3 linked regions of the Saccharomyces cerevisiae S288C genome follow. The gene in region 3 interacts genetically with the main gene of each other region. Each region holds a gene or a part of one and is shown on either strand. Other genes may lie near its edges.

What was found.
Region 1: mutations in UGX2 (region 3) and PAU4 together harm fitness more than expected from each alone (negative genetic interaction), as found in Saccharomyces cerevisiae (one large-scale study listed by BioGRID).
Region 2: mutations in UGX2 (region 3) and NBA1 together harm fitness more than expected from each alone (negative genetic interaction), as found in Saccharomyces cerevisiae (one large-scale study listed by BioGRID).

The regions. Positions count from the first base shown.
Region 1 is NC_001144.5:1,059,351-1,069,907, reverse strand, and holds PAU4 (seripauperin PAU4), read right to left. Parts: upstream 6,990-10,557; coding exon 6,627-6,989; downstream 1-6,626. Other genes in the region: YRF1-4 (Y' element ATP-dependent helicase protein 1 copy 4), read right to left, coding at 1-2,821; YLR464W (uncharacterized protein), read right to left, coding at 2,407-2,544, 2,824-3,336; YLR462W (uncharacterized protein), read right to left, coding at 3,344-3,952; YLR460C (uncharacterized protein), read left to right, coding at 9,021-10,151.
Region 2 is NC_001147.6:188,583-200,422, forward strand, and holds NBA1 (Nba1p), read right to left. Parts: upstream 10,144-11,840; coding exon 8,638-10,143; downstream 1-8,637. Other genes in the region: MDM20 (Mdm20p), read left to right, coding at 1-832; YOL075C (uncharacterized protein), read right to left, coding at 1,076-4,960; DSC2 (Dsc2p), read right to left, coding at 5,250-6,218; THP1 (Thp1p), read left to right, coding at 6,388-7,755; succinate dehydrogenase assembly factor SDH5, read left to right, coding at 7,925-8,413; kinetochore-associated Ndc80 complex subunit NUF2, read left to right, coding at 10,360-11,715; histone deacetylase HST1, read right to left, coding at 11,786-11,840.
Region 3 is NC_001136.10:156,066-160,675, reverse strand, and holds UGX2 (Ugx2p), read left to right. Parts: upstream 1-1,940; coding exon 1,941-2,612; downstream 2,613-4,610. Other genes in the region: SFA1 (bifunctional alcohol dehydrogenase/S-(hydroxymethyl)glutathione dehydrogenase), read right to left, coding at 1-1,072; UGA3 (Uga3p), read right to left, coding at 2,772-4,358.

The sequences.
Region 1 (10,557 bases), on a different chromosome or scaffold from region 3:
TGGTAGTAGCACTAGTGTTGGAGTCGGTACTTTCGGTGGTAGTAGCACTAGTGTTGGAGTTGGTACTTTCAGTGGTAGTCGCACTAGTCCTGACGTTGATGCTGGCAGTGGTAGTAGCACTAGTCCTGACGTTGGTGCTGGCAGTGGTAGTAGCATTAGTGCTGGAGTTGGTACTTTCAGTGGTAATCGCACTAGTCCTGACGTTGATGCTGGCAGTGGTAGTAGCACTAGTCCTGACGTTGGTGCTGGCAGTGGTAGTAGCATTAGTGCTGGAGTTGGTAGTCGCATTGGTACTGGCATTAGCACTACCATGAATGCACGTGTCGCTGTCCTCATCACTGCTGCAATACTTTCTGCACCTGTCACTGCTATTGCTCTCCTGGAAGCTAGACGGTAACGCAATGATCGACATGGAAGCTGTCGCCTGTTTTTCAGCCAATCTGTCCATTCTTTCTATCAGTTCCACTGTGTCAGCAGACAGGTCTGTCCTGGAGCCACAGCATCCAACATGCTGGCCCTTTTTTCCTTTCTTTGATTCAAGTCCATAGAACTCGCGTACCTGTTCGGTTATACAGCCTTCCTTAATCGGTGGTAATTCACCCTTACGATTCCTTGCCGCCCAACTGTTTTTTCTAGATAATAGATAACAGAGGCCCCCATCTCTTAGTCTCCCTACGCCTTGAATGAGCTCAATAATATTAAGTCTATTATCAAGCATGATCACCATCATCAATTGCTTAATGTCAATTCCTTCAGTCACTAATTTCGTTCCGATGAGAACTCGCATGCTACCGTCAGTGACAAACTCCTTTGTGCGAGACACCTTTTCTGCAGCACCCAGCTTCCCGTGTATCCATACCACCCTAAAATACTTTCTCCAAGAGCAGGCCAATTCTTCCACTTCGTTGGTTGTGCTTGCAACTACAATGGCCTTCGACTCTGGTTCAATTTCAAAGAGGGCTAAAAGAAGCTTCAGTGCTTCTTCGGGCTGTGATTCCACTTTCTTCCAAATTTTATGAACATGCCCTAAAGGCACCTCGGATTTCTCCTTGATTAGATTAAACATCCGTGTTGGATAGCTGGATAGACCTCTGCTGAGATCTTCCGACCGTTTGAGCTCGTTGATGTCCATCGACTTCTTGGCCAGTCCCGTAAGCCCAATACGCTGCAACGCAGCATCAGCTACAGCCTCAGGTGCTGTGCCGCTCAAAAAGATTGCTTTCTCAAAAGCGTCAAAATCAAGGTTAGTTATGCCCCCAAATTGCGACTGCCGGTAGACCTCCGTTTCAAAGTTGTGAAACTCATCTACAATGAGGTAACCCAATTTTACGTTGTTGGTCCTAAAGGTGCACTCAACAATATTCTCCCACGCAGCTATCCTGTCTGTGAAATTAGTGCTAGCAAGATCATCGTAGATCCCCACGTATAAATCAGTAACGCCATCGCAACCTTCTTCAATAAAGTTTCTTACAGGGGCCACATTCAAGCAACCGCATCGGCTCAACCTGATCATGCAATTAGCAAGCAACACTGTGTACGGTACAAACAGAAACGACACATATTTCACGTCGCCCTTAGACGCCAGTGCTATCAAGGGGAGATGAAATAACTCCGTCTTACCATAGCCCGGTGGGGCCTGTACTGCCACAGAGGGTGTGTCTGCCATGTATATTTCATGACATAAGCGCAACTGATGCAAGTCCCTGAATTCAAAGGAGCTGCCAAAGAGTTTCCGGCCTGCGACGAGGATATCGTTTGTACTCTTGGGCTCTCGGGGCCTTTTTCGCGTTACTCTTGAAATTTTTTGATGATGATCTGAACTCGCCGCCTCACCTGCCACTACGTCTTCCGCATTCCGAGTACTAGAGAATGAACAATGGTAGTCGCTTTCAAGGCCTAACCATTGAATCCAGCGCTCGGAAGCTCGTTCCTGCAATAAAGTGGCGGTCGTCCCACTGACACTAGTTAACGAAAAGGAATCCACACCGTAAATATTTCGCCCTGTTTGAACGGAATGATTGGCCATGAGTTCACTCGTCGCCGACTCGTACAAATCTGTTTCAAATCTGCTACCTACGCAGTGCCGTCCTAGGGCAATCAACCCCTGACGCATCTCCCGAAAATTCAGCTTCTGAGGTGCATTCTTCGGAAGTTCCCTCATGTACTGCCGAAAAGTTGCGTATTCAACCAGACAGCCCTTCGCGGTATTCAGAAACATGTAGGAATACAAAACTATCCTCGAAATGTCTCGATTTGTTACTTGATCTGGATCCTCAAATCCCACCACATCCATCCAAGGATCATGATTAAAAGCGTCATAACTGTTACCAAGCGCACATATTTGCATTTGCCTTAGCACAGTGACAAAATAAAACACGTAATCTGAAGTGAGTCCGTCAAGCGTCTTTAGTCGAGGCTCCGATGAACCGTTCTTGTTGTAATCAGTGTACAGTTGGATGCGTCTTGTTGTATCATCGACGTATACGTTGCGCTGAGGACCGGCAAAAGCGAGTAGCTGAAGCTCTGGATAACGGTAAGGGTATCCTACGGCAAAATGGATCATCCACATAAGTGGCACCGTAAGCTCGTCAATTGCAACAGCGACTTTATTTTTAAGAGCCGCGGTCATTTTGTTAGTATCTCTTCTCAACTTGGGCAGCACAATTTCACGATATTTAACAGGTATCATTTGAAAAAAAGAATCGTTTTCCAGATACTCGTCAATTCCTCGCTTCGGTTCTCTGAACAAAACTTCTCGATTACGCAAAATGAGGCTGGCATATGGAAGCAGTTGTTCAACTCTCCCCAAAGTTTTCCACATACTGATATACCATCAGAAGAAGGTACCAAAGTTATTCTATAAGAGTCCTTCAGCGTGGTTTCCTGCGCTACTTCGTGGTACAGAATTTTGATCCATTTCCACATTGCAACGCCGTTGTTGTCATCAAATATATCTAAATCCCTTGCGGTACAAGCACAAGACGACACCAATAAAGCTTTCACGGCATCTAGTGTTTTTCTGAGTCTTCGTGGAGTGTTAGGACTGCGCAACTTACATACTTTCAGGCCATGCTCGTCCACAGAGGGAATAATGGGTTCTTCATTCGTAATAGATCGATCCTCTTCGTCACCAGCGCCACCACGGGGACCCGCCCCGAAATTGAGTGCACATGCTCGCAAGATAATATGCAAAATATCACCCAATCGGTCCTTTTTGTTCATCATATCGTTACATATCTGTGAAAAGTACTTTATCTCAATGGGTTTACGTGGGCATAGATCACGCTTCAGCCGCTCTGTGTCGACTTTCTTTTCGCCAGGTAAACTTGCTTGCATAGCTCATCTACGTGTAGGCTGCCAAATTGTACCCATATTTCCTTATGGTGCTTTTCTGAAGACTCCTTACAATAGGTGCGCCGGAAACAAAGTCAGTGAAAGTACGCATCGTAGAGCTGTCGTTCGGCCTAGCACTCGCTATTTCGTGACAACGTTCCAGGACACGGAAACTCAACTCATTATAGTATCCTCTGTTGAGGTAAAAAAGAGAAAGGGTATCGTAATCCTTTCTATTGAATTTCAAAGTATGCACTTGAAACAACGTGTAGACCATCAAGTTGATTTTCTTGGGAACAAGATACTTTGAAGGGATTGGTCCGCCCTGGAAATCTGGTTCGTCTTCAACAAACGTCAGGAACTTTTTTACATTTTTCCCGACCATGACGGAAATGACAACTTTTTCAAAAGACCTTTTCCTATCCATTGCACCAGTTCTGAATTTTACCACTTTGATTAGGCCAGACTTTTCGTCTTCGTAGAATGACCGCACTTCCGTGGGGATCGATTCAAATAAAGTTATTGAGGGACAATGTACCAAGTCGTTTTTGTTATTTAGAGCCGACTCAAACTCGTCAAAGTTTGCTTTTTCAAACTTACGCCTATCGGAAACTTTCATTTTATTTTTGTAAGTTTCGAAATTAACAATAGTATGTTGATTTTTATGCTTTTTGACAAGAAATCCATCAATATAAACAAAAGATTGTCCAGTTTTCGTCTTATCATCATCTAAGAATGTAATAATTAAGCTATTGAGAAGATGCAGAATCTGCGCTATGCAGGTGCAGCAAAAGCAAACAAAATCTCACTAAGATAAGCGACTGTCTGTCCCCTTCAAGCACAACATAGAAAACAGAAGGATGTCTCATTCATCGCTTGATTTCCGGCCTGCAAAAATAAAGTAGTCGGTACGTACTTTCGTTTTCAATTTCCATGGTGCACAGTATCTTAACTATCTGCTTAGTCGAGGAGAACCAGGATTCTGTTCGTTGCTCAGCCGCTTCGTGGATATTCTCTTGGATACTTTAAACATGGACCTACGTTCCGCTCTCGAAAAGACCAATATAATAAAAAGTTATAAATTACATTTCCTTATTAGGTATACGACCTCGCGCTTCGAAGTAGAGGAGCCCTTTTTGGCGTACCTACATATGGCGCGTCAGACAGACAAACTTCCCCCAAAAATGTATTACCCCGCCGAATAAGAAAACAGACCCATTCACCAACGACGTATCAAGTTACTTCCTTGGTTTGCAATGTCCCACTATAAAAAAATTCCTTGACGCTAGATCTTTGGGCTAAAATCTGCGTCAAACAGGAAATATTGCCTATTTTCGTACAAGGTTACTTCCTAGATGCTATATGTCCCTACGGCCTTGTCTAACACCATCCAGCATGCAATAAGGTGACATAGATATACACACCACACCCACACCCACACCCACACCCACACCCACACCACACCCACCACACCCACACACCACACACACACACACCACACCACACCCACACACCCACACACCACACCCACACACACACACACACCTAACCCTAACACTACCCTACTCTAACCCTGATCAACCTGTCTCTCAACTTACCCTCCATTACCCTACTCCCCACTCGTTACCCTGTCTCATTCAACTATACCACTCCCAACTACCATCCACCTCTCTACTTCCTACCACCAACCCACCGTCCACCATAACCGTTACCCTCCAATTACCCATATCCAACTCCGCCACCACTTACCCTGCCATTCCTCTACCATCTCCCATCTACTACTCACCATACTGTTGTTCTACCCACCATATTGAAACGTTAACAAATGATCGTAAACAATACACATATACTTACCCTATCACTCTATACCATCACCACCACTTGCCACACTCACCTTCACTTGTATACTGATATGTCATACGCACACGGATACTACAGTATATACCATCTCAACTTACCCTACTCTCATATTCCACTCCACTCCATGGCCCATCTCTCACTAAATCAGTGCCAAATGCACTCACATCATTATGCACGGCACTTGCCTCAGCGGTCTATACTCTGTGCCATTTACCCATAAATCCCATGATTATCCACATTTTAATATCTATATCTCATTCAGTGGCCTCGAATATTGTAAAAATGCTCTTAATACATACGTTATATTACTTTTGCACCATATACTAACCACTCAATTTAAATACACTTATGCCAATATTACAGAAAAATCACCACTAAAATCACCTAAACATAAAAATATTCTATTCTTCAACAATAATACAAAAACATATTGACTTGGAGTATGAACACTACCATGACGTCATTAACGTAAAAGTTCCTTAATATTGCAGTTTGCTTGAACGGATGCCATTTCAGAATATTTCGTACTTATGCAGACCATACATTAGAATAATATGCTACCTCACTGTCGTAACACTCTCCATTCACTGTGCTATAATATGGTACTGTGTTGACACTCATGCGGGTGCTATGATAAAATTGTATCCTATTTCCATTCCCATATGCTATCCGCAATATCCTAAAAGCATAACTGATGCATCTTTAATCTTGTATGTGACACTACTCATACGAAGAGACTATATCTGAACAAGACGATACTGTGATAGGTACGTTATTTAATAGGATCTATAACGAAATGTCAAATAATTTTACGGTAATATAACTTATCAGCGGCGTATACTGAAACGGACGTTACGATATTGTCTCACTTCATCTTACCACCCTCTATCTTATTGTTGATAGAACACTAACCCTTCAGCTTTATTTCTGGTTACGGTTACACAAAAACTATCGCAACCCAGAAATTTTGATATTTTCAGTGTCAAAAAATGAGGGTCTCTAAATGAGAGTTTGATACCATGACTCCGTAACTCGCACTGCCCTGATCTGCAATCTTGTTCTTAGAAGTGACGCATATTCTATACGGCCCGACGCGACGCGCCAAAAAATGAAAAAAGAAGCAGCGACTCATTTTTATGGAAAGACAAAGTGCTGAGAAGTCATGCGCTTCCAATTTCATTATTGTTTATTGGACATACTCTATTAGCTTTATTACCATCCACCCTTTTTCTAGAATAGTGTAAAAGTTTCTTTTTATGTTTATCGTATTCATAAAATGCTTCACGAACACTGTCATTGATCAAATAGGTTTATAATATTAATATACATTTATATAATCTACGGTATTTATATCATCAAAAAAAAGTAGTTTTTATTTTATTTTTCATTACTTTTTACTGTCTATGAATTTTCATTCGTAGAGGCACTCGTCCCTAGTTTGCGATAGTGTAGATACCATCTTTGGATAGAGCCTTGGAGATAGCTGGCTTTAATCTGCTGGAGTACCATGGAACACCGGTGATCATTCTGGTCACTTGGTCTGGGGCAATACCAGTCAACATGGTGGTGAAGTCACCGTAGTTGAAAACGGCTTCAGCAACTTCAACTGGGTAGGTTTCAGTTGGGTGGGCGGCTTGGAACATGTAGTATTGGGCCAAGTGAGCTCTGATATCAGAGACGTAGACACCCAATTCAACCAAGTTGACTCTTTCGTCAGATTGAGCTATAGTGGTGGTTGCGGAAGCAGTAGCAGCGATGGCAGCGACACCAGCGGCGATTGAAGTTAATTTGACCATTGTATTTGTTTTGTTTGTTAGTGCTGATATAAGCTTAACAGGAAAGAAAGGAATAAAGACATATTCTCAAAGGCATACAGTTGAAGCAGCTCTATTTATACCCATGCCTTCATCAGTCATCACTATTTAAACGATTCGTTAACAGACGCTCATTTAGCACCTCACATATCCTCCATATCTCATCTTTCACACAATCTCATTATCAGTATGGAAATGCTCTTGTTTCTGAACGAATCATACATCTTTCATAGACTTCGTATGTGGAGTATTGTTTTATGGCACTCATGTGTATTCGTATGCGCAGAATGTGGGAATGCCTATTATAGGGATGCCGGGGTACCTTGAAAAACCCTTTTGCGCGCCTGTGATTTCCGTTTTCGGTCAAAAAGAATATCTGAATTTTAGATTTGGACCCTCGTACAGAAGTCTATTGTCTAAGCCTAATTTCAGTGCTTTAAACGGCTTCCGCGGAAGAAGCATTTCTATCTCTTGAATTCGTACAACATTAAACGTGTGTTGGGAGTCGTATACTGTTAGGGTCTGCAATTTGTGAACTCTCGGCGAATGCCTTGGTGCAATTACGTAATTGTAGCCGCTGAAGGCGGATGGTATTGAGAGAAGTTGATGTTCAAAGTATCGTGTATGATAAAAATAAAATTGTAACCAGTTCGTAGTAGCAGTATTAAAACTTTGCACAGAGGGAAATATTTGATTCCGAGATGTAATCCCTCTTTTCTAGCCAGATATGAAGGAGAAAAGTGTAAGGGTAGTAGAGAGCGCTACTTTATTTTATTTTATTTTAAAAATGTTCTCTAGGAAAGGTGTATTAATAGTTGATAAAAAAAGTATTTTGTCTTCTATGTTCATAATTTCAATTCTTGAATTTTGGAAATCGTGAAATGCTTCGAGAAACCGCCTTCAATAATTAGAAAACAAAATAAAAGATTACAATTAGGCCACTCAAAAATACAATTCAGATAAGAAAGGAGCGATAGTGGGGAGTAAGAATTGGAAATACCCTTGATAATCAGGGAAAACTTAAGGAACGGGGTGTTAAAAGTCTGTGAAGTATAGATCAAACTCGCACTAGCTAGCAATACTCATGAGAACCCATGTGAGTCTAAAGCTGTGAAACTTCTTTAGAAAGCAGAGCATCCTCTAAGTTAACAGTTTTCCATACTTATTCAGTATGGATCAAGTTCCACAGTTTGTCAACTTCTGTAAAATAAACTTGTAGTGCTTCTTCGATGAAAAGGGATAGAATCTTTAAAAGACTTGATCTTGGCATTTTTATCCTCCTTCAAGCAGAATGGCTCCAGTAGAGTTGTTCTGAACGCTTCTGGGCAGTGAGCAGCATTGAAGAAAAAGTACTCAGCATTCCAAGCTTTGTTTTCATATAATTATAAATTAAAACTCATAGCCACCAATTTCCAGGTTTTGGTCGCAATATGCTGCAGAGTCAATGGCTTGTTTCATTACTATACTAGTCCGACGGAGTTTACTTTACTCTAAATTTTCTGAAATAGAAAGGCCACACGCCATACAATTAACAATAGTTCATTTAGTTGAAAGGTTTCCGAGATAGAAAGTGCGGTAGTGGAGAAGAACAATAAACGTATCAAACTTTGCGCAGTCATGGAATTTCCAGGAAACATTTTTAGGTTTTCATATGACAGCAGTTCCTGTCCGAGAGCTGTGCCTTTCTTGTCTCAGCTGACTAAGATGTCTCGGATCCGCCCGGCTGACGCGCGGCTCCGTCTAGTGGGATAGGCTTTCAACACATAGAAAACCCTTCAGATGATGAGAACACATCGAATCCCAGAGAGTAATATCACTAAGAATAAAGCAACCATGATAGACGATATTACTAAGTGTTCCTCAACAGATATTGAGAAAAGTTCTTATAAAGCGGGCAGGCTTTTTTCTATTTTTTTCTTTTTCTTTATCTAGCTTAAGATCTTTCTAACCATATTCTATAAAATGGCAAGCTGAATACAGATTATCAACGACAATTACAGATAACCTACAAACATGCAAGTTGCAATTCCAGAAACCATGAAGGCTGTCGTCATTGAAGACGGTAAAGCGGTTGTTAAAGAGGGCATTCCCATTCCTGAATTGGAAGAAGGATTCGTATTGATTAAGACACTCGCTGTTGCTGGTAACCCCACTGATTGGGCACACATTGACTACAAGATCGGGCCTCAAGGATCTATTCTGGGATGTGATGCTGCTGGCCAAATTGTCAAATTGGGCCCAGCTGTCAATCCTAAAGACTTTTCTATCGGTGATTATATTTATGGGTTCATTCACGGATCTTCCGTAAGGTTTCCTTCCAATGGTGCTTTTGCTGAATATTCTGCTATTTCAACTGTGGTTGCCTACAAATCACCCAATGAACTCAAATTTTTGGGTGAGGATGTTCTACCTGCCGGCCCTGTCAGGTCTTTGGAAGGTGTAGCCACTATCCCAGTGTCACTGACCACAGCCGGCTTGGTGTTGACCTATAACTTGGGCTTGGACCTGAAGTGGGAGCCATCAACCCCACAAAGAAAAGGCCCCATCTTATTATGGGGCGGTGCAACTGCAGTAGGTCAGTCGCTCATCCAATTAGCCAATAAATTGAATGGCTTCACCAAGATCATTGTTGTGGCTTCTCGGAAGCACGAAAAACTTTTGAAAGAATATGGTGCTGATGAATTATTTGATTATCATGATATTGACGTGGTAGAACAAATTAAACACAAGTACAACAATATCTCGTATTTAGTCGACTGTGTCGCGAATCAAGATACGCTTCAACAAGTGTACAAATGTGCGGCCGATAAACAGGATGCTACAATTGTTGAATTAAAAAATTTGACAGAAGAAAACGTCAAAAAAGAGAACAGGAGACAAAACGTTACTATTGACATAATAAGGCTATATTCAATAGGTGGCCATGAAGTACCATTTGGAAACATTACTTTACCAGCCGACTCAGAAGCTAGGAAAGCTGCAATAAAATTTATCAAATTCATCAATCCAAAGATTAATGATGGACAAATTCGCCATATTCCAGTAAGGGTCTATAAGAACGGGCTTTGTGATGTTCCTCATATCCTAAAAGACATCAAATATGGTAAGAACTCTGGTGAAAAACTCGTTGCCGTATTAAACTAGATGACGAACAGATATTATTTTCTTTCATATACATAGTTATTACGTTTAGTTATAGTGACTTAGTTTTTTTTTTTTTTTTAATGAAATTGTTTGTTATTGATCACCCCTTGTAGGGGCAACAGATGAGCACAGTGAAAATCATAACTCATTATGTGATTCGTTGTGAGTAACCCTTCCATGATTATATATCCTAACTATCTACTATCCAACTACTACATATCTATTGAACTCATATGTACCAAGCACATAAATTTATGCACCCATTTCCATTGGCAAAGACTTGGCGAAATTTAATACACTGTAATAATATCCGGCGAAGCTCTTTAAGTATTCTTACCTATAATGGCGGCTCGCTGTCCGAACGATTGCGCCGCACTTTTCTGCCTCTTACATTCCTTTTTCCTAA
Region 2 (11,840 bases), on a different chromosome or scaffold from region 3:
ATTCGAAAGAAATTCATATAGCAAAATACTAGGAATGCTCGAGATGAGGGATAAACTAATGAAATCCTATACAAGATGGACCAAAACTTTAGAAAACTTACAGTTCTCACGTTTATGCAACGACAAGCGCGGCCACCTACTACAAAAATTACACGAAGATTGGAGATCTTTAGAAATGACGCAAAGTGTATCATTTTCTGACAATAGAGACTTTTCCATATTAGATGAAAATTTTGCCCAATTTCTTAACCGTGGTAAAATTTTGGAATATGCTAACTTGAATGAAGAATCAATTTTTCTAACTTTGATAAGAGAACTTATTATTGAAGCTTTGCCAAATGGGGAGAAAACGGAACAAATAAGTGCGCTCTTAAAAAAACTTCCATCAATTAACCTTGAAGAGTTGTTGAATAATAATTTAACTGAAGTGGAGTCAGCGTCATTTCTGATTTTTTTCGAAATTTACGAAAATAACGGTAAAAATCTACATGATTTAATTTCTAGGTTGATGAAAGTCCCAATAAATGCAAAACAAAACTGGATGGTATCCCATACTTACCTTACTAAAATGGCAACCTTAAAAACACTAGACAGTTTGAAGAGAATCAAAGATAAAGAAATTCAAAAACTAATCAAAAACTCCCTCAAGGAGTTGAGGAGTTGTTGCGATGATGTATTTAAAGGTTATTCTAAAGCTTTAGTACAAGCATATGAAGAATTAAAAAAAGATGAATGTGGCAACTTGTTAAAAGAACTTGATGTTAAAGCTGAAAATGTCAAGAACATTAAAAATTCATTACTAGGCATCCAAAAAAGTGTAAGAAATTTATGAACAAAAATTACATCTCCATTATAGAGCAGTCGCAGATAGACAATTTTCTTTTATTTTTTTTTTTTTAGGTAGATAAAATAACATGTATCGCAAGACTTTTATATCAGCAGCCTTTTCAAGCTCCATAATTTCTGAAAGAAAAAGTAGTATATGATTTTTGAGGAGAATAAATTTCAAAAAATCATAGGAAAATAATAACGATGTTCCTCCCGTTAATTTACAGGTCTATAAGTATTTTTCCAATCACCATTTTATCCACTCCAATTTTGCTTTTAAAATAAAAAATGCAATAAGGCGATAAATTATGGCTACGCACACAATGATTCCCAGGTACTTTTGCGTATTTCTGACTAAACCATAAGAAACCAACACATCATGGCCATTCGCAAATTCACAAGTACCGTCTGAATTTTTCCCGCCATCTTCGCAGGTTAATTTCAAATTACCTGGGAATGCGAAATTAATGATGATCATAGATGTATACCCTACAGGGTTCAAATAGTTAAAACCCTTTAATACTCTCGACATGCCTAGTGACATTAACCCTGACATCTGAGTACCAATGGATAAAATAATGGAAATGCAGTTAACGACGAAGCCTGGCCTTTCGAAAAATGTATTTGTCATTATACCAAGAGCTTCGCCACAACAGGTAACAATAAAGGAACAGTAGACGGTTGCAAAGAAGTTGCCTGCAGTTCTTGGTAACCCACATGCCAGTACTGTAAATACCGCGTATAACACTGAAGCTAATGCGGATAGCGGCAACTCTAATGTCATATAAGCTAAGAAAAAAGGTGCTATACCATAAACATTATCATTATATTCTTCGTAAAAGTAATCTCTTTCAGTTGGATAACATGCCAAGTTCCCCAGCATGCCCACAAAATATAGTGCTGTAGATTCTTGTGCCAATCCTAGACGATTGCTAATACTTGTATAATTATGCTTGACTGGGGCAAAGAATAATGCGAAAATAACACCTAATCCTGGAATTTGTGCAATACGCGCCATCAAAGAGTCAAAACTTCTCCTTGTCGTAGTAAATTGCCTTTTAACGTTCACTATGTACGCCAAAACCAAATTAGCTGGTTTTCTTACAAACTCGCTGTATTCTGTGAAAAATGACTCCTGAGAGTATTGTTGTTTTTCAGAAATTGGGGTTGGTGAAAGGCTTTCGTTATCCATATTAGCTTTCCATGCACTAAGTATCTTTTCTACTCGTGCCCTTGAGCTTATTTCATTCTGTTCGTTCTGGGTATTAACTGAAATTAAATCAAGAAAGAAATCTGCCACGTTCGTAAACGAAGGACAGTTATATCCCAATTCAGTGAAATAAGCAATCATTTCATCTGGTGATCCATTGAAAGCAGTTCTACCCGATTTAGCTAATAGCAAAACATTACCAAATCTCTTGAATAATTCTGACCTTGGTTGATGAATGGTAATGATGATCGTCTTGCCCTGTTCCCTACATAACTTCTCCAAAATTTCCAGTATAGTAGCGGATGTGAAGCTATCTAACCCTGAAGTTGGTTCATCTAGCAATAATATCGGAGGATCGTTTAATAATTGCACACCCATAGTTACTCTTCTTTTTTCACCACCGCTTATACCTTTAACAAATTCATTACCAATGATATTGTTTTCACAATGCTTTAAACCCAAAGACCTTATTAGGTTGTCAGTTCTCTCCATTCGTTCTGCCTCAGTCAGATGATGCAATCTTAATGCAGCGGCATATTTCAGGGTTTCTTTAACGGTTAAAGCTGCCAAAAGGTGGTCATCATCCTGCGAGACATACGAGCATACATTTTTAAACATAAGCTCTGAAACTTGAATATCATTGAACATTATTGAACCTGAAGTGTCAAATTTGGCAAAGACCGAAGATTTTAATCTTCCGGAGATTAGGTTTAACAGAGAAGACTTTCCAGACCCTGATGGCCCCATAATTGCATTAATCATTCCAGGTTTGAAAATGGCATTAACTGATTGTAGAATTTCTTTTGTTTCATGGTGGAAGTTGCCTTCTTTCCAGTTTGAGAAAGGGGCAGAAAAAATGACTCGTAAGTCTATATCTTCTAATTTTATAGTAATATGTATATTTTTTCCTTTCTCCGCTTCCAAATCTTTCTGATGATACACGTCATCTAGCAGCTGAATCTCGGGTTTCATTCCTGTTGGGGATTTCTTTTTGATTTTTTTTTGCTTCGATTTCACTTCATTTTGTAAAGTTATATCAATCTTGTGCAAATATAAAATAATTGCACCTACTACAAAATATCCCACAGACCAGCAAAGTAAGACAACGGCAGGTACGGTTATCCAATTCCTAGGAAACCCGTAAACTTCCAATATCTGGTTACCCAAGCACTCATCGAGATTATCTGTAGTACAGTACGAATTCGTAAAGGTGCTTGACATGAGAGTACCGAATGAATACCACGTAAAGGCAATATATTTAATCCAACGAACATACACGGGCATTACTTTAGCATTAACGAAAAAACCACATCCCATCGATAATACCGTAAATGTCATATTTCCTACTAATGAAGCTTTAGAAAAATCTCTCGATACCGCCACCGATAACATAGATAAACCGGAACATGATAGCTGACATAAAAATACAACAGCAAACTGATAAAAAAACTTCCTTGCATCTGCTTCCAATCCAAACATAAAATATGTTATACTGACAAAAATCATGGTCATCGCGAAATCGTCAGAGAGGAAAAGTGAAATTTTTCTAGCTACGATGAATGCCAAAGGTGTTACCGAGCCCTCTGCTCTTTCTCTGTCATATAACGCAATATCCTGCTCACAAAGTCGATAAGTATCAAAAAGCAAATACAAGTAACATTGCAAAATTGTGGACGCGTAAAGACATGCGGTTGTTGTCCTTAAACCACCTATACTGCTTTTGTCAGGTTTATAGTAAATCCAACCGCAAACAGTACCAATAATCAACGGTTCTGCAAAAGTAGATATTAAAGTAACGTAATCTGAAAAATTTAATTTGAAATTTCGCCTTGTTAGCACCGTAACTTGCTTCCAAAATGGCAGTCTGGTAGTCATATTCTGAATTTGAATTTCCGTTGCGTTGCTTATATAAGATTCTGCCTGTAGTTGCAAATGAGTTCTCTCATAATCATGCCAATGATCAATCAATGAATTTAGCCGACTTTGCGTGGCAGCTTCTTCTTTATCAGATCTAGAGTCTACGCTTGATAAATCAATGAAATAATCTGCTGGATTTACCAGCTGGGGTACGTGATAACCAATAGACTCAAAATAAGGGATAGTATTATCCATTTTGTCACAATATACCACATTTCCCTTTGACAAAATACAAACCTGGTCCAATAAAAACAATATATCCGATCTCGGCTGATGAATTGACATGATAAAAGTCCTGCCATCTTCTTTAGCTAATTTTTTCAAAGTTTTAATAACCAAGAAGGCAGAATATGCATCCAGTCCAGTGGTAGGCTCATCTAAGAACATGATGGAAGGGTTTGAAATCATTTGAGTACCAATACTTAGTCTTCTCTTTTCACCACCAGAAAGACCCCTGTGCGAGTTGTCCCCCACAAGAGTATCGGCACAATCCTTGAGCCCTAATTCTTCAATTAATTGCTCGACCATTAATTTCTTGGTTCGCTCAGAAGAGTTTAGTTTCAAATCAGCTGCAAACTTAAGAGTTTCTCTACAAGTCAACCTAGGAGAGAGTACATCTTGTTGAGGTAGGTACGCCATTATTACGTGTTTCTGGATGGGATGGTCTTGGCCATCCAAGTGAGCCCTCTTAGGCTCTGTTTCATTGGGTTCTGAACCTGTATCTTCCAATACGTACCGTATAGAACCATTATGAGTTAACCCACCACTGATCTTGGATGCCAGAACATTCAGCAACGTAGTCTTCCCTGACCCCGAACCACCCATAACTGCCATGACCGACCCACTGGGCAGGTCCATGGAAAACGTATTAACTAGCGTCGTATTTGTTTTGGATGCAACGATTGACAAATCCCTTACATGAAGGCTTATTCTAGGGATTCTTGAGAAGGAAAGTCTATTTTCGATTAATTCAGTGGCCACATCACCATTCTCCTGCTGTGACATAGTGGCTGCAAGTGGATGTTTGGCGTTGGTGATTGTAGCTTAAAATACGATGATCGTTTGAAAACTGCCAAGCACTTGTGCCTACTTCTGCATTTACATCACAAATTCGTTTATCTCATCACTAGATCCTTCCTTTTTTTTTTTTCACTTTCTGATATTTCGTATAAGTGTCAACCCAACAATACTAAAGCCAGACATATGATAGAAGTAACTGCCTCACATGGCTGTAAACGATGTTGCTAAACCGTTGCTATGTTTATTTGTTTATGTAGGTATATGCTGATATAAATCATCTCCTAAAGGTATCCAAAAATTGGACTCCCAGTGGTCTTGCAGGTTCATCGGCACCAGGCTCGTCATCACCAGCGCTAGAGGTATTTGTAGGGGTGGTGCTTGAACCACGAAGCGGTAGGCTTGTAGGCCCAGAGTTGCCTGTATTTCCATTTCCTGTAGCAGCAGTAGCTGCTTCTACAGTGGCTCTTGCTGCTGCTGTATTCGTGGCCGCATTGGCCGCTATAGCAACGTTAGCCCTCGTGGGTGGGCCTTGAGAGATGAAATAGGATACAAACGGTATTCTCCAATGGTCTAATCCCGGTAACAGGCCCTTATCGATGAAAATACCACACATCCAGCTTATGAATCCGCATAGTATTCCTGCAAACCCCTGATTTAATATAAGCAGGAGAATTAACCCATTTAAAAGAAACTGATCGTTGATTTTCCACTCTACGGCGCTCTTGTCTTCTCGCTTGTTATCATTGTGACTTGATGCTCCTCCTCGAGGTCCTAGTAATCTTATATTCCATTCGTAAATCTGAGGGGTGTATTCTTTGTAAAAATGTACTAAGCTTAAAACAATGGGCAGTGAACCTGTACTAAAATTGTTCCATTGAAGCCACTTGTACTGTCCAATAAATGCGTTCCAGATCAGATTCAATCCCCAAATTCCTAAGGTGGTGTAGGCCCATGACAAAACAATCAAGGTCAAGTACTTGTGGGATCCTAGTAGCCGTTCTAAATGCCTAAACAGATACCATATCAACGCCAGTATTACTGTATCGGATTCATTGATGGCGCAGAACTGGAATATGAGCAGACGGTAGTATTGATGGTAGGTCTGCAGAAAAGGATCATATTGCAATAGAAATATATGTTTGTAACTTGCAATCGAGGCAACTAAGGGAACCACAAGCGTCGTGATCATGGCTAGCTTGGTGACGGGCATAGCCGTAAGCCCCACAGGAGGCTCCATAGACATTATTTGTAGACTATTGTGTTTGCTTTTTATGTCGTTGACTTTCTCTCCCTTTAATAGTTAAGTTTATACGTCAAATTTCTCTTCTATACTTTTCCAAAAAAAAAAAACCATCTTCACATCAATGGCATTCAAAGTAAGAAACAGGGCAGGGATAAAAGGATAGATAGCAATGGACATGGCCAACCAGTTGCTAGATGAATTAGCACATGGAAATTTTTCCCACCTAACGCTAAACTTGTCCCAAAATGGTAGGGAAATTGCTATCTTACAGAAGCAATTGACCGGATTTGATGATAAACAGCTAGAAACGTTTGTAGAACAACACCCGGCTATGCCCAATGATACGAGATTCAAAATCATGTGTACATCCTTTTTAAATTATGCCCGAGATGTCGACCCATGGTCAGCCTGGTCCAGTTCGGATCTAATTTTTGAGTTTTATCAATGTTTAATCAACTGTCTCATCAACGACAATGCTCCTCACATAGAAATGTTGATACCAGTAGCAACTAGAGAAACAGAATTTATCATCAATCTCGCTGGGAAACTAGACTCTTTCCACTTGCAACTGCATACGAGAAGTCACCAATTTCTATCACATATATCGTCCATCCTATCAAGACTATTTAACAGCATCAAACCTCCACGAGGTAACGCATCTTCTACAAATATACCTGGAAAACAACGAATACTGCTCTACCTGGTCAATAAACTAAATAACATCTACTTCAGGATCGAGTCACCGCAATTATGTTCCAATATCTTTAAGAACTTTCAGCCAAAAAGCATGCTTGCACATTTCAACGAATACCAGCTCGACCAGCAAATAGAATACAGATATCTATTAGGAAGGTACTACTTGTTGAACTCTCAAGTACATAATGCCTTCGTTCAATTCAATGAAGCTTTCCAGTCCTTATTGAACTTGCCGTTAACGAACCAAGCGATCACTAGGAATGGCACCAGAATACTAAATTACATGATCCCTACAGGGCTGATACTGGGAAAGATGGTCAAATGGGGACCGTTGCGACCGTTCCTTTCCCAAGAAACAATTGATAATTGGAGTGTTCTCTACAAACACGTACGTTATGGGAATATTCAAGGCGTGAGTCTCTGGCTGAGACAAAACGAGCGTCATTTGTGTGCAAGACAGTTACTGATCGTGCTCCTAGAGAAACTGCCCATGGTAACGTACAGAAATCTGATTAAAACGGTAATAAAGTCCTGGACCACCGAATGGGGTCAGAACAAATTACCGTACTCCTTGATAGAACGGGTACTACAGCTATCTATTGGTCCGACATTCGAGGATCCCGGCGCCCAGGAAATTACCATTTATAATGGCATTCACTCCCCCAAGAACGTCGAAAACGTACTTGTGACACTGATTAACTTGGGACTTTTACGCGCAAACTGTTTCCCACAGTTACAACTGTGTGTAGTGAAAAAGACTACAATGATACAAGAGATTGTTCCGCCGGTTAATGAACGAATCACCAAGATGTTTCCTGCCCATTCTCACGTTCTTTGGTGATATGTAGATATATATAGGAAATAGAAGAGAAGGAGCGACATTATGCTGTTTCTTACAGATTTCATAAGAGACTAGATTTTAAGTATATTTAGGATATATAAGAAAGGCGAAATTTGTAAAAAAAGAACAGGAGGAAAAAAGGGAGTACACTTTAAAAAGGAGCACATAAATGCACAATATGTTTCCAGCACTCACAAAGACACTGTCGTTGCAAGGCTACAAGATTATCAACTCTCAAACAGGGTCCGCTGCATGGTCGTGCGGTCGTAGGTGGTTTAGTAGTGATAAAGATGACCACGACGATGTGGTGACGAGGATTAAAATTGCCCCCATAAAGAGAACTAACGAGCCATTGGATAAGAAAAGAGCTCGGTTGATATATCAATCACGCAAAAGAGGGATCTTGGAGACGGACTTGCTGCTATCTGGGTTCGCTGCCAAATATTTGAAGAAGATGAACGAAGAGGAACTGGAAGAATACGATTCGCTATTGAATGAGTTGGACTGGGACATATACTATTGGGCCACAAAAAATTTCAAAACCAGCCCCTTGCCTGACAAGTGGGCCAATTCTAAATTGCTGAAGCAGCTACAAGAATTCAGTGAAAATAAAGAGAAGGAAATTTTAAGTATGCCGGACTTGTCCAAGTATCAATGAATACAAGCCATTGAATTACTATCACTTTTTTTTATTTGTATATGACTTGTAAATAAACCGGAAGAGAAAGAAACTTATATATTACCACTATACTATACTATACTTATTGCTATTATTATTATTCATTATTAGTATTATAATATATTATTGATATTGATATTGATATTGTTATTGTTATTGTTACTACCACTGTTACTATTACTATTATTATTGTTGTTGCACCATCAAAACCCTTCAAGAGCCTTTGTAGCTTTGTCTAATCTTTTCAGTCCTTCTTCATAGCGGTCCGGATCAAGAACCATGTCTGCTGTTAACCTGGACAAAGAGTCTACTAGTCTCTCCAGGGCACGTTTCTCCTCAATTTTCATCCCCAGTTGCGCAAATTCAGACCCGATTAAGGTTCCCTTTGTCACACTCAACAGTTGATTTAGTGTGTCGATATCAAAGGATCGCAATTCCTTCACAGATTTTTTTTTATTGAGCTTTTTTTTCGTATCCTTCTTGAGTTTAGTTTTCTTGGGCGTTTCCTCAATGATGTCCTCGTACATGTCATCATCTTGTTTGTTTGTCGAAGTAGAGGTATGATTTGCCCTATCATGAATAGCCTTCAATGTGTCGTCACGTTTCAAATTCGATGTAACTCTGCTATCCTCATTGGGTGTGCTGGGCAATGGTCTTGTCAAGTAAGTCTCTTCCTCTGGAGGCATACTCGTTGCCGCAGAATAGTAAGATTCCGATTTTTGTTCACTAACTGTGGAAATCTGAGATGAGTTCTTATAGTGGCCACCAGGTTGGACCGGCGTTGGTAATATTTCTTCGGTTAAAAGATCCCCCTCGCCATCACCTTCTTCGATGAACAACCTTGACCTAGGACGGTCCTTACTTCTGGGCGGAATAGTTGGATTGTAGTCATTGGTTTCAGAACGTATTGGGTTTATCGCTTTGGGTGCTTCGTTGGTGGTTGTATACAACTCGGGTATGACACTGGAAACAATTGAAAGCTTATCGCTAACATTTCCTTCCTCTTCTTCTTCGAGCTGCTCTTGAATAGATTGATGGAATTTGGTATTATAAGTGGAAGATCCGCTCTCGCTGGCCAAATTACCTGATCCTATAGAGGAACGCATAACTTTTTCCTGACGTAGAGGACTAGATAACAGTTTCAGTGAGCCACGACCCTCTACTTTTTTTGAAGTGTTAGAGTTAAACCTTCCCACAGGTTTGGCATTAGTAACTGGTTTAATGACAATTTCGTCTGCATTGGTATTCGATTTTGTGCTTTGGTTATCACTTAGATGTTTTGTCAATGTCGCTTCTGAAGGCAACATGGGCAACGACGGTAACTCGTTCTTGCTCACGGGCTCTTTCAAGGAGTACAAACTATTGGAATCCTTACTTGTGCGCCGTTCTTGGGTCTGTTGCCGGTTTTTGACCACATATGATACTTCAACGCCTTCTTGAATAATTCCAGAGTAGTTGGAAATCATACTTGATCTGTTATCACCAGGTGGCAGCGAAACGTCACCAGCAGGTGATCTCAACAATCTCGATGGTGGTTTAAAGACATCACTTTGATCCGCCTTTTCCTCTGTGATCATTGTCCTGGTAGTTGTGGGAGATGGAAAGAGCCTGTCATCTTTCTCATTGTTCAGTGAATCGATCATTGCTGAAAGTCGCTGCGTATTCAGCGTAGCCCTAGATATCCCGTTTTCTTCCCTCTCTTCTGACATACTTATACACCTATCTGGTTTTGATAATGGTCTTCTTGTTAGTCGAATATATCAGCGTTCTTTCTCTTCTTGATGGTGCCAGCCATTTGATCAAAAGATCGCTTTTCCGAATCGGGACATGTAACAAACAATAACAATTAAAATAAACAATATTATGAAAAAATACTGGTAAAAAGCATGTACTGAGGAGAAAGGCTCCAGCATCCCTTGAGCAAAATGAGTAGGAATCAAGATGTGTTCCCCATTTTGGATCTACAGGAACTAGTTATATGTTTGCAAAGCTGTGATTTTGCGCTAGCCACACAGGAAAATATCTCTAGGCCCACCTCAGACTACATGGTAACCCTTTACAAACAAATCATCGAGAACTTCATGGGTATTTCTGTAGAGTCGTTGCTGAATAGTAGTAACCAAGAAACAGGGGATGGTCACTTACAGGAAGAGAACGAGAACATTTATTTGGACACGTTAAATGTTTTGGTATTGAACAAAATCTGCTTTAAGTTCTTTGAGAACATAGGTGTTCAAGATTTCAATATGACAGATTTGTACAAGCCCGAAGCCCAACGGACACAGCGCTTACTGAGTGCTGTGGTGAATTACGCTCGTTTTAGGGAGGAACGAATGTTCGACTGTAATTCTTTTATTCTTCAAATGGAATCGTTGCTGGGTCAGCTTCGCTCCAAATTCGATGATTATAACTTGATTCAGCAACAGCTAAAGCAATACGAGGACGTAGATGGGGATAATATACCTGATGAGCAAGAGCTCCAAAAGCTGGAAGAGCAAAATAAGGAGCTGGAAATTCAGTTGAAGAAATTGACCAAGATCCAAGAAACGTTATCCATAGATTATAATGACTATAAGATCTCCAAGCAGTCAATCTTTAAAGATCTGGAAGCTCTGAGTTTCCAAATAGTGGAATTAGAGTCCAATCGAGATAAACTGATCAAAATATCCAATACAGACATGGAAGAGTTATCCGAGGGAATCAAAGAGCTAAATGATCTGTTGATACAAAGGAAAAAGACGTTAGACGACTTAACCGCACAACAGAAAAACTTGCAAGATACAGTGACGACGTTCGAAACCATAATTAGTGAGCTCTATGATGTGCTGAGAATAATTTCCAGCGAGGTGCAAGAGTCTAATCGAACTGAAACGGAACTTGTGGGATTAAAGCAAAATTTAATCAACAATAAGCTGAAATTGATGAATGTATTGGAAACAGGTATTATGTATAAATTAGAAATCTTACAAGAACAGTTAGATTTGCAACTCAAGAATTTGGAAAAGCTATCGCAAGATACTAAAGAAGAGTCGCGCCTAAATGATACTAAATTGATGGATCTACAAATCAAATATGAAAATGAAATCAAACCTAAGATTGACAAAACGGACATTTTCATTCAAGAGGAACTGATCAGTGGTAAAATCAATAAATTAAATGATGAAATTAAACAATTACAAAAAGATTTCGAAGTTGAAGTTAAAGAAATTGAGATTGAATATTCTTTATTATCTGGTCATATTAATAAATACATGAATGAAATGCTCGAATATATGCAATAGCAGCGGTATACTTATTTTTACTCCCCCTTCTGTGTTTTCTTCTTTTTTTTTTTTTTTTTTTTTTTGGAATTTACTGTTGTTTCTTTCGTGGCTGTTTCTTAATCTTATACGTACCTTTATCTATT
Region 3 (4,610 bases):
TCCTGTGAGTGATAAATTCTTCGACTTTTAAGGCACCTTTTTGATAGTCTTTAATTAAACCGCCCATTTCAGATCTACCTTTGATGCCACCAAAAGCAGAGCCTTTCCACACTCTACCAGTGACCAGCTGGAACGGCCTTGTAGAAATTTCTTCACCAGCGGCAGCCACACCAATGATAATAGATTGACCCCAACCTTTATGACAGGCTTCCAAAGCATCTCTCATAATTTTGGTATTACCAGTACAGTCAAAAGTAAAATCCAGACCCCCATCAGTCATTTCAATTAACTTTTCAACGATAGTTTGATCTTTGGCCAAATCTTCCTTGGGATTAACAAAATCCGTGGCACCAAATTGAGAACAATATTGTTTTTTCTTATTGTTAATGTCAATGGCAATGATCTTGGAAGCGCCCCTTAACTTTGCACCTTGGATAACGGAGAGTCCTACAGTCCCGCAGCCAAATACTGCAACGGTATCGCCTTTTTGCACATTAGCTGTCTTAAGAGCCGCCCCAAAACCAGTAGTAACACCACAACCCAGTAAACAGGCAGCATCCAAGGGAGCTTTTGGATCGATGGCAACCACAGAGACATCTGCCACCACAGTATATTCGGAAAAAGTAGAGCAACCCATGAAATGGTATATATCTTCACCTTTCGCATTATGAAATCTTGTGGTCCCATCAGGCATTACACCTTTCCCTTGAGTAGCTCTAACAGCACCACATAAGTTGGTTTTACCGGAAGTACAGAACTTACATTTGCCACACTCAGCAGTGTACAAAGCAATAACATGATCACCAGGCTTAACTGTTATGACATCATCGCCTACAGATTCTACGATACCGGCTCCTTCGTGGCCCAGAACGCAAGGGAAAAGTCCTTCTGGATCAGAGCCTGATAAAGTGTACGCATCAGTGTGGCATACAGCAGTATATTCAATTTTGATACGTACTTCGTGCGCTTTTGGGGCGTCTACCGTGATTTCTTCAACACTTAATGGTTTCTTCGCATCATACGCAACAGCAGCAATGCACTTAATAGGTTTACCAACAGTAGCGGCGGACATTGTACTTATATTACTTATATTCCTTCTTTACTTGGAGATTTTGTAGAAGTAAACTTAACGATTCAAGGGTCAGTACTTTCTCAAGCTGGTATAAGCACACGGATGTCCTTCCCTTTATAAGTGAATTTTTTCATCTTTCTTCCTCTATGAAATTCCATTATTACGTAACTTACAGAGGTAAAAAGACCCACACACCGCATGTCTTTATTGAAAAAAATGCCTCTATAATAGTATACAGTTGATAATAATGGAACCAAGTTGCCATTCGACTGAGGCACTTAAGCCATTCAAGGGAAGAAAATTAAAAGATGCTTTATTTTTATTTGTGGTAGAAAATAAAACTAGCCCCGTAAGTATTATATAGTGAATGTAAGAAAATAGGCCAACAAATTCTGACACTAAATACTATTAAGTGACTGCTGACTTTCGGTTGTCACCTAAGGGGTTCTTGAAGTAATTATGGATATTACGCAGAAAATAATCGCATTTATAAGCAACAACTGTCACGATTGACCTGATGCAAAGGAAATTAGGAATATATATGAGTGTAGAAGAAGATGGTAATATCCAAATTTTAAATTTTCCTTCTTACCGCCTTAAATCAATACCATGGATTAATCATTCAAATATATGCAGAATCATGTTAATGGTTCTTTTTGTCTTTTCTGTGATGCATATTCAGTAGTCTGTGATGAGCATCCCCCCACAAGAAGGGCAATTTGATGAAATTCTTACTAGCGCCGTTCGGAACGAGGTAAGGGCGCTTTTTAAAGGGAAAGAGCGTATCATTTGATAAGGATAAATTGAAATCAGTACCAGCGTTAAATGCAGATAGTTATATCGTGTTCATAACCGCTACTGAAGAGTCATGGAGGATAAGGAGAAACTTATTGTATACTCAAATACCAGTTCGGTATTTACATATAGTGCAGAAATAAGGCCAAATTTTAAAATATCTGTATCTCAAAGTCAAGGTTTTGCCTGGAACCAGGACTTATTCGCCACACAATACCAACAATCATATAAGGTGGTATATGATGCACACGAGGACAACTTTGATGAGTTAATTTTGAAGATCAAGGGCAAATTAAAGACAAAATCTAATAAAAGAGCTAAAATGAAGTCTAAGACTAAATTAACAAGGACTGCAAAGCAGAGAAGGGAAAGCCCCGTTTGTGAAAGGGACGAGAGTGACGAGGATAATGATAGTGATCACTACCAAAGAATACAAGTGCTAGATGGCCATGAATTTCCGAGAGCAAATCGGTATAAATCTGTATGGGCTCATGACGTCCACTCGAATGAAGATAGTACAAGCGACGGGGAAAGCAATCATGATATAGATATGATTGGCGGCACTGGCACGTCGTATGCAGGAGCAGCCATAATGGATAGGCCACGCAGGAAATCTGAGAGAAGCATAAGCTTTGTGGAGGACTCCAAGACAGGCGATTACAGGTATCAAACCGGGCAGGTGGATGTTGTAGAGGTGGACTCGGACACCCCTGAAAATAATCACCTAAAATGGTTAATTAAATAATTACTTCTATGTCTCAACGTTAGCATTTCTACATTGTATAGGTATAAATTGTTTTTGAATCCGTACGTCCTACAAAAAAAAAAAAGAACATATATATGTTTGTGTGGTGAAACAATAATTTAAGACACCCAGGGGGCGGGGAAAGAAAATATATGCTGCTCAGGCAAAATTAATATTGTAATCTAATTCGTCAATCATGTGGACCAGGTCATGCTCACTGATGCCATCAGCCTCGTTTTGCCAAATTTTCCGTATCAATAATCTAGCATTTTGGAAATTGTAACATTTATATCGTTTTAAAATGTCGTCAAATTTGGCTTCCAAATCTATTTTTTTCTCCATATCTTCTACCTGAATGCATACACCGTAAATGAAAAGTGGGAAGCATAACGATCCTTCCAAAAAAGTTCCGATGACCTTGTCTAGCTTCGAGTCCAATTTGTTTCTCAGTATCTGTAGTTCCAGCGAATCTTTGTCAATCTTTAATAAAGTTAATTGAAAGAACATTAAGGTAGAAATTTTCATTATCTCGAATAGTTCTAAATAGTAAAATTTCTTTTCATCATCCAAATGTTCCAGCGCCATAAGCGAAGGTTGTAATTTATAAATCTCGACTTGCAAACTCAAAATTTTATCGCCATGCTCTAGCATTTCTTCCTGTTCCATAGTCTGCAAAAACCTCGTCAAATTTGTGACTTGTCCCAATAGTAGTAAAATAGGCTTGTTGATGCCAATTAAAGGGTCTATTTCCTCAATTGGCGAGTCTATTGACTCAATAAAGTTGGCTGAGCTGGGTAAAGAGTTCTGATCCCTTTGGAAGAATTTCTCGTATTGTTCGATCGGGAAGGACGTTGTATTGAAATTCAAAATATCATGATATATAAAATTCACAATCAGCCAGTACTTAACAACGGAATTGAAATTGGGGAAGATTATCCTCTCCTCTAGGGAGGGTTCTTCTGTAGTAGTGGTTAGTATCCGTGAGACATCCTTGCCCACATGGTTTTCGATCAAATTTTTTCCTATATTCAATAATATCTTCCAAAATTTCACATCACCCTGACATATCTCTGAACCACATAAGATTAGGATTTGTGCTAGTGAATATAGAAACCCCAGTTTAGCACAGGCACTTGAGCCCTCGTTTGTCTTTAGATGCGATAACGACATGTATGTATACTTGTTCGCCAAGTTGACAAATATTTCATCCTTTCGCAGCTCATTTGATGATGATATAGACAAATGATTAGCTGACCAAGCAAGAATAGCAAACAATATACCATCATTCTCGTGGGCCATTGGCAAGAAAATGTTCAGATAGTAGTTCTGGTTCATGGGCGCGATGGAAATTATGTTTGCAAGGTGAGACCTGTAGTAGTTGTACAGCTGCAATCCCATAGAGTCCAGCTTCTGAGAAATGCAATCTTCCAGCGGTTTTGACAAATATACCTGGTTATCCTGTTCGTCGCTACCGACCCGTCGAGTACGGGTGGCCACGGCCGCTTTCTGAGCACTGTCAGGAGCATGCTTTCTTTTCTTGCTGATCAACTGGTGCTGTATATCTGCCTTTATTTTTTTCAAAGACTGCTTATCAACAGATTCTGATATATAGATACAGGGAAAACTTAATCGACGACAGTCCCGGCACACAGGTTTATCTTCAGAGCATCTCTTCTTTCTGATCTTGCAAGTAATACACCCATGCTTCGAATATTTCAATTTCAGCTTCTCCACGCCATAATTCATACCTCACTTTAAAAAACTTTGTTTTCTTGGCATCCATACATGAACAATAACAACAATTCTATATCATCTTAAGTAAGACTCTTATTGTAATTTCTTTTTCTTTGATGACTCAGACCCTGGTAGCCCTACCGTTCAACCCTATACAGCGCAAATTTGGTCCTAATACACTTCGGTTTTAATGCGTCAATCCGATTGGCTCCGATAAGCTTTTGCACATTTTTCAAGTCATATGTCACGACGAACGTGATGCCC